Mus musculus: one gene and its partner. The protein of the gene in region 2 interacts with the protein of the main gene of each other region in a pairwise test. Links are inferred from orthologs where the notes say so. Each region holds a gene or a part of one and is shown on either strand. Other genes may lie near its edges. The genes, in order: Parp11 and Gtpbp3.

Region 1 (3,441 bases), on a different chromosome or scaffold from region 2:
ACCTGCAAGTTAGCTAACTAGCCTGGGCTGTATACAAAGTTTGAGGCCTGCATAGACTATCTCAGAGACATTATCTCAAAAGAAAGGAAGGAAGAAAGAAAGAAAGAAAGAAAGAAAGAAAGAAAGAAAGAAAGAAAGAAAGGAAATAAAGATGAATAAGCAAGATCCCCTTTCTCCGAGGAGAGAAGGAAATGTGAAGAGAGGCACACCACCAGGGACAGAATAAGATCACTTCTCAGTTGATCTCAGAGGATCTCTTCAGATCCACTGAGTCAGAAACACCCATGAAGATGGTACACTTAACTACCAACCAAAACTCAACGTAATTTTATCACGTGAAGCTTACTACCGTTGAACATTTAGACAGACAGAGACGCAATCTTGGGGATGTCTGTCACGGTCACAGGCGAGGTCTATCATGCTGCCCTTTGCTCTGTTTAGCAAAGCTGATCTTAGATTGCTGGGAGTGCCAGCGAGTGGGAGTGGCTGGCATACCCCTACAACTGATCCTCTGAGCCAGGAACCTTTAAGGGAAGTGTAATGTACCCACCAGGCCTGGATCTAGTCATAATTCCTAACAGAGCCGAGGACATATCTTCATCCTCAGGTTACTTGATCAGCTATTGCTCACAACGACCAAAACTAAGACCAAGAAGTGCCCCCAGAGCAACATCTACTGAGAACTCCCTGAGAGTCTAAGAAGTTTGAGAGGAAAATTCAGGTTGAAACCAAGACCCAGAAACCAGAAGCACACATATAGCACACACAGGCAGCCAAGACCTGATACAGAAAACTTTAATCAACAATTGTAGAAACAATACACTCAGACATTGAATATCAGAATTCTCCATCACCACCTCCACCACCAGTCTAGAAATGAAATAATCCACTAATCTCAAACATTCCTGGTGGGAGATAAAAGATTCAGGAAAACATTTTCCCATAAACACATTTCTTTTTACCCAAAGGCTAGACTCCCCGCAGAGAAAGGACAAGTTTGTACTCAATGGAGTTTATTCAGCCAGCCTGCGGCACAGCTCGCCACTCTGCACGAGCTCCCTTTGCTCTCCCTCCCACTCCGTGGGATGAGCAGAGGGAGTGATGTTCTTCTATACATGGAACAGACAAAACAGTACAACGTTAACACGAGTGACTTCTACGTTATTATATTTTAAAACACGTACCGAGATCACGTCTTCCTTATGAAGGGGGTTGGCAGTCTGTCCCAACAACAGCGGTGCAATGCTTCTTTACGGTGGCCTCTCTGACACCCCCCCCCCCAACCTCCCTCATGCATGCCAACACGGGAGAGTGATTGCACAGACTGCCTGCGTTCTCAGTCACCTTGACACGGATGCACAGGTCTAGAAGGAAACAACCTCAACTACAACAATCATTCCATTCAAGTATTGAGAGAAGTGTGCATGGAGCTGGGGGGTGGGGGGGAGAGGAAGGCGGGCAGACAGCCATGTAAGAGGGACTTTAACACATTGCATGCCAGTTCGGTCTACAGAGAGAGTTCCAAGACAGCCAGGGCTACACAGAGAAACCCTGTCTGGAAAAACAAACAAACACGCACACACACATACAAACAAACAAACAAACAAAAACAAAACCAGGAGAAAAGAACTAGAAGAGAGACTGTTCACTCTGAACTCCCAACGCCTCTAACACTGATTCTTGAAAGCGGCCAGGCAACCTAGCCACTCTGCCTTCAGGCACTGCTGCAGGGACCACTGGTGGCTTTGAAATGCGTCCTTTCTAGCCTTTCTTAAACCAATGGTGGACCTCCACATTTGAGCCAGGGAGTCATTCCTGCCACCGTGTGCCAAAGCACTGTGCATAATTTCCCGAGAGCCACTCTTGTACTTCCCACTGTGCGATAACACACATTCTGGGCCAGAAGGAGAATCTGATGGTTTACAAAGCTGAATGAATGGCTATCCTTACAAAAGCCACTATCCATAATCCTGTTTCACACATATATTCTTTCTAGATGCTTCCCAATTTGAGTGACTGAAGAGAACAATACAGGCACCAGAAGCTAACCTGTGCTCAAGTCCTCGAACCCAAAGCTGGATGGGGATAGCAGAGACAAGATTCAGTATTGAGAGCTAGGAAAAGGTTCTGGGTGATATGACTGGAGGAATGACCTTCCTTCCCCACAAGGAATCAGGGAAAAAGCAGCGCTGGGGAGACAATCATACAGGCAGCTCCCTGTCTGACACTTGAACACTTAGCATCATGCCTGAGTGCTATCTCATCTCTGCTAGAAAACCGCTGGGCAGTTAGCTGGTACAGATCACTTCCTCTTTGGGACAGAACAGCAGGCAAACAGACAGGTACACAAAGCCACGAGCACAACTCTCAGTTGCACATAGCTGCTCAGGGGTTGGAAGTTGTCAATCACTACTCTAAAGAAGAAATCAGACTTCTTCCCAGCATCTCATGTTCTTCACAATCATTCAAAAGAGAATGACACCAACTATTAACACGTGTGGTTCTTAGGAATCACCATGGAACAGCTATGTGTGTCTCAGGGGTTGTGGGAGGACCAATAAAGCCTCTGCAGGGCTTGGAAAACAAAGGAAATAAATAAGTTGGGGCAGGGACGACAGACTGCTCGAAGCTGAACTGTGAGCTAGTGACCCTTAGCAGCAGTGCTCAGCTCAACTGTGGGAGATGGGTGAGAATAGTGTGCACTGCTCTGGGGCTACAGACCACTTTCCTCTAGCAGTGAGAAGCAGGCTCTGCCCTGTCTCTCTTCTGCTGGCTTACCTACCAGCACAGCAGACAATGTCCTTGTTTCTTACTTCGCTGAGCACCAGGGGCTGTTTCGGGATTTTTAATTCCCCCTTCAGAAGACCAACAAAGTCACATGTTCATTGATAGATAATAATGCCAAAATTCAATTTATAAAAGTCCAGTTCTCCTAATAGGGTACAAAAACTAAAATCATTTGACCTGGTCACATGCGTGTGCACTTTGAAGACTGTCTGATCATGGTAATGAGAGACTCAACCTATTCTGTTTTGAGAAGTAGCTCTTTCTCCTGTATGTTAAGATGGCAACAGCATCGGTCTTTAACAAAACCGGAACAGACAGAAACAGAACAACATATAACCAACCTGACAGCCAGTACTTCTTTATATACTGAGGCCGCTTTCTTTTCTGTATCTGTTTCAAAAGAATCCAATATTTATATTAGTGGCTAGGAGACAGAGGATCAAATCCTCCTGTAATGAGAGAGCAAAGCTCTGACCACTGAGCCTGGGAGGCAGGGTCAGTGGAAGTCTATCAGGTACTCAGGGTAGATCTGGTTGGCATCAAAAACCACAAAGATCTTTGGGTTCCAGGTGTCATCCACACAGCTGTCATACAAATTCACATAGCTCCCGTCTTTGGAAGGAGGTCTCATGTATTTCGAGTCTCCATTTATGT
Region 2 (4,606 bases):
TGAAAAGCAGGGCAGGGCACAGAAGAGGACAGGCTGTGAGTGTTGTGAGGTGGCCTGAGGACTGACGAGACTCGGGGAGGGGTGGGGGGAGGGACCAAGGGACACAGGTCAAGATTGCTCTTCAAATTACGAAGCCTCCATGAAATCGACTCATGGGGAGAAAAGGTCACTGGTCGCCCGCCACATTCTCAGCCTTCCACCTACCTGTGGCGGGCCCTGCGCACACCCTCCTGCTCAACAGCGCCCACGCCTTCCCGGAGCCCTGCAGTGTCGCTCAGCAAGACAGGGAACCCAGCCAAGTCCACGGGAGTCTCCAGCACGTCACGGGTGGTCCCAGGCTCTGGGGACACGATGGACACTGGCTTTTGGCCTGAATGTCAGGGACAATGTGATTAAGAACCACGGAGTGGAGGTAAAAGCCCTCACTTTCAGGAGGCGCTGTCTGCCACTCTCGTAGCTTTGAGCTACCAGTGGGGCCACCACAGTGTCCAGGAAGCTGCAGCTGGAGGAGGCGTCCAGCAACCCTAGGATGCTGCACCCCTGCCCAGAAGAAGCCCATCCCATCCTTTCCTGAACCCCACATACTGAGTAGATTCACCAGACTGCTCTTGCCCGCATTGGGAGGTCCAGTGACCACAACATTTGCCCCCGAGAGGAGCCTTTGTCCACGCCTAGCATCTCGCAGGTGGGAACCCAGCGCCACCTCCAGGGCTCGAACTTCTCTGTCCGCTGTGAGAGGGAAAAGGCGGGGTGGGGGGGGGAGAGCTATCAGCAAGGTCTCAGGGGGGGCTGAATGCCAGCCCCAACTCCCCCAAAACCAGACATACCCTGCTCCAACACACCCTCTTCCAAATTATCATCCTCTCCGAAGTCAATGTAGGCCTCCACATAGGCCAGAGCCTGGGGAGGAGGGGAGATGTCACAGGTGCTCTCTCAGTCTCAGGTCTAACTCCAGTTTGATCTATACAACCAGACTGGCCTCTCACAGGCCTAGAACTTTCTCTAAAGGATGCATGGATGGAGCTGGAGAGATGGCTTGTTGGTTTAAGTGCACTGGCTGCTCTTCCAGAAGTCTGAATTTAATTCCCAGCAACCATATGGTTGCTCACAACCATCTGTAATGGGATCTGATGCCCTCTTCTGGTGTGCAGACATACAAGCAAATAGAGCACTCATAAACACAACATAAACAATATAAGTAATATAAATCTTAAAGAGAAAAAGAGAACACATGAATGGGTGAACATGCAGGCTTGCCTTGGTGAGAGTCTTTGCCCAGCCCTGGCAGAGCTGGCTCAGTTCCCCATCCAGCTGCCTCAGAGCCTGTCGACGCTGGGCCTCAGTTTCTGCACGGATAAGATCTGCCAGTCCCTCCACTTCAGTCAGGCTCAGCTTGCCATGGGCAAATGCCCTCCTGGTGAACTCTCCGGCCTCGGCTGGCCGCAGTCCTGGCACACTACCTGCAGGAAAGCATCACAAGGCCTAAGCTCCTGAGTCCCCATCCAATGGCAGGTAACAGCCAGCAGAGCAACAAACCAAACCCCAGGTGGGTTTTCAGGTGACACAACTTCGTCAGAGTCCCCTGATCCTGTAAGGAATCACAGGAAGCTCACTGATTCTTTGGGCTGGACCCTAATGGGTCAGTGGTCAGTTACTGGGTGTGACCACCACACCCCATCTGGGGGATGTAGATATCTCTCTTAGAACCCAGGCCAGCAAGCTGTTGAGGTCACCTGCAGTTGCCCCTCCCCATCAGTGCTGATTACACACGCAGGCCCCAGACTGACAGAGTGCTGGCCATCAGGGGCTTCCTGTGGCAAACTTGTTGGATGAACACACATTAAGTAAAGGTGACACAATTCTTTCTGAAAAGGCAAGACCCTCCCTATCCCCACCACCCAGAAATCACAGAAAGCCTGGTTGTACGCTGGTACATCGTACCAGCTACTCATCAACTCCCTAAATAGGACTTAGCACTTCCTCCAAACAACTACCACCAAACATGCACTTGAGTCTGAGCTTTCCTCAAAGTCCTCCCCATGCTGAAGTCTCTGCGTGTGTGTGTGACACCAGGAAGTCAAAAGACAGCCTGCAGGAATCAATTCTCACCTTTCACCACTCGGGTTCACATTTGGCAACAATCACCTTTACTGGCAGAGTCATCTAGAAGGCCTGGGTTAATATGATACATCTCTTCTCCCAAATGACAATGTGTTTTGCAGTCTATCTCCAATACCTTTTAGTCTCCCCCAGGAACAGTGCCACTCAACAGAGCCTCACCCAATGCCTGCAAGACACCGCTGACCACCGCAGGACCTCCGTGTACGTGAAACTCCACGCAATCCTCACCCGTGAAACTCTGGGGTCCTTGTATGGAAAAAAGCAGAGTTAGGGGATGGGCACGACCCGGGCTGACTCCTGGAGGGGACTGAGACCCGGACACGAGCGCCGTGGGCTCCCGGATCCGGCCCCTCACCTGGGAACCAGAGGACGAGTGAGCGGTCCAGTGGCTCCCCGGAGCACGGGTGGCGGAGAAGGCGCAGGCAGGCTCTGCGGGCAGGAGGCGGCTCCTGGAGCGCCGTGAGGCTGCGGAGCGCGAGCCCGCTAGCTGGACCGCTGGTGCGGATCACTGCGATGGCGCAGCGTCCCTGGCCGGAGCTGAGTGCGAAGATGGTGCTGCTGGGGACTAAGGACTCTGCACTGGTGCTGCAGCGTGCGCACAGCCTGGAGATCGGAAAGGAAACGAGTAAGCGCATCCAGAAACCCGAGCCTCGGGGTGAACATGGACGGAGGGATGGTCGCCCGTTGATGCCCAAGCTGTACGAGCGGTGGCCAGGCGATGGGCTTGGAAAGACACGGCAGCTGCGGGAGGAGGAACGGGGTCTGGAACTTCAGGGGCAAACCTGGGTCCTAAAGCAACGTCTAGCGCGTGACAGCGGGTCCGTGCCACTCACCTGAGGGGCGCCCACGCCGCCTGGGTCACCAGGGCGCTCAGCCCACGCCACATGGATTTCCAATTTTGCAAGCACCTTGGCCGACACTCCCGCAGGGCTTCAAGTTCGGGAAGAAAGTCCTGCCCCTTTGCGGTGTGACTTAGCGGTACGACTCTCAACTACCATTGGATCGCCTATAGGAGGTCCCGCCCTCTATCTATAGATTTTGATTCCTATTGGCTGATCCAAGGGAAACGAAGTTGGGATGCGGGTGTGTACAACGCAAGAGTGTCCCGCGGAAACACAGAGCAAAGTTTTCGGTTCCTAGAGCAACAGGTATCTGACACAATAGTGGGAGGAAGAAAATGCAGGATATATCTCAGCGGTGGTTCGAGCCCTTCTTTTCCTTGTGCCCATTCCGTAGTCTTAGAGAAGCTAAGAAGCTATGTGTGCGCTCCGACTGTAAAGTCCATGAAAGGCAGCGCAGAAGGCACTTGCTGCCAAACTTGACAATCTGAGTTCTATCCCCGGGATCAGCTTAGTGAAGGAGACCAGACTTGTGCAAGTTGTCCTTTCACCATCACGAGGGAGGTGGGGTCGGGGTATTCTACACCCAGTTAGAGACAGAAAACTCAAAGCATCTTAGTGACTGCAGGGGATGAGTTCCGGGAGAAGCCACGCCCTAGGTCAGGGAAAATCTGGTCCAAACTTCTGGGAAGTTTCTTCCTGGCCCTTCTTGTGTCTCTTCACTGATCCCCGCTACCCCATCTTTGCCAGCTGCAGCTCCTGGGCAAGTATCTTTAGCCAGGCGCCATCCCCAGGCAAGGAAGCCTTTCTGGCGGTTCCAGCCCAGCTCCAGCCCTGGCTTCCCCGCCCTCTTCGGGGTCCCGGTTGGCCGCAGGTCCGATGTGTGTTCCGGGATAGGCATCCTGGGGCCTCCAGTTAACTTCGGGTTAACCCGGGACAGCACTGAACTGCGGGGTGAAGGAGCAGGCTCGAATACCAGGTTCTGGGCGGGCGGGGCTTCGCGAGCGCCCTCGCACTGCCAATTCTCTGGTTCTCGACTTGTGCGGGCGGGCGCTCTTTAGTTAGTGCTGCCGGGTACAGTATAGTCTCAAAGCCCTCAGGTTCCCATCTGCCCTACTTTCAGTCTGTGAAACAGGGACAGTGACGTTGTCCATCTCCTGTGGTCCCATCTTTTTTGTTTGTTTGTGTGTTTGTTTTTGTTTTGTTTTTTTCGAGACAGGGTTTCTCTGTGTAGCCCTGGCTGTCCTGGAACTCACTCTGTAGACCAGGCTGGCCTGGAACTCAGAAATCCGCCTGCCTCTGCCTCCCAAGTGCTGGGATTAAAAGCGTGCGCCACCAGTGCCCGGCCCCCGTGGTTCCATCTTAACACGTTTAGAGCAAGTGCTCATTACCTACTAAGTGCTCACAGGACTTCAGGGTGGGCCACTCTGAAGTGGGAAAACATGGGAGATCAGGGCTGTGGGTTTTGGTGCTTGCTTCTAAGTCTGACGACCTGAGTTCAATCCCCTGGACCCACATGGTGGAAAGAATCAGTTTCCACAGGTGTCCGTCCTCTCACCTCCATACACTCGCCAAAGCGCTCCTGCCCACAACAAACAAACATTCTTTAAAAATCTGGTATCAGGCTTAGCTTTGTGGTTGAGCAT

The links.
Region 1: the proteins of Gtpbp3 (region 2) and Parp11 interact in binary tests that used the Homo sapiens proteins (3 or more experiments, as listed by UniProt). The two-hybrid records come from large-scale screens. The link is inferred for Mus musculus from reciprocal best matches to the Homo sapiens genes GTPBP3 and PARP11.

The regions. Positions count from the first base shown.
Region 1 is NC_000072.6:127,491,578-127,495,018, reverse strand, and holds the end of Parp11 (protein mono-ADP-ribosyltransferase PARP11), read right to left. Parts: coding exon 3,284-3,441; 3' UTR 758-3,283; downstream 1-757. UniProt on the Homo sapiens protein: Mono-ADP-ribosyltransferase that mediates mono-ADP-ribosylation of target proteins. Plays a role in nuclear envelope stability and nuclear remodeling during spermiogenesis. Inhibits the type I interferon activated signaling pathway.
Region 2 is NC_000074.6:71,487,189-71,491,794, reverse strand, and holds the start of Gtpbp3 (tRNA modification GTPase GTPBP3, mitochondrial precursor), read right to left. Parts: upstream 3,068-4,606; 5' UTR 3,008-3,067; coding exon 2,955-3,007; intron 2,725-2,954; coding exon 2,477-2,724; intron 2,368-2,476; coding exon 2,281-2,367; intron 1,461-2,280; coding exon 1,258-1,460; intron 1,141-1,257; exon of another isoform or gene 901-1,140; coding exon 828-900; intron 730-827; coding exon 586-729; exon of another isoform or gene 371-585; coding exon 205-370; intron 1-204. UniProt on the Homo sapiens protein: GTPase component of the GTPBP3-MTO1 complex that catalyzes the 5-taurinomethyluridine (taum(5)U) modification at the 34th wobble position (U34) of mitochondrial tRNAs (mt-tRNAs), which plays a role in mt-tRNA decoding and mitochondrial translation.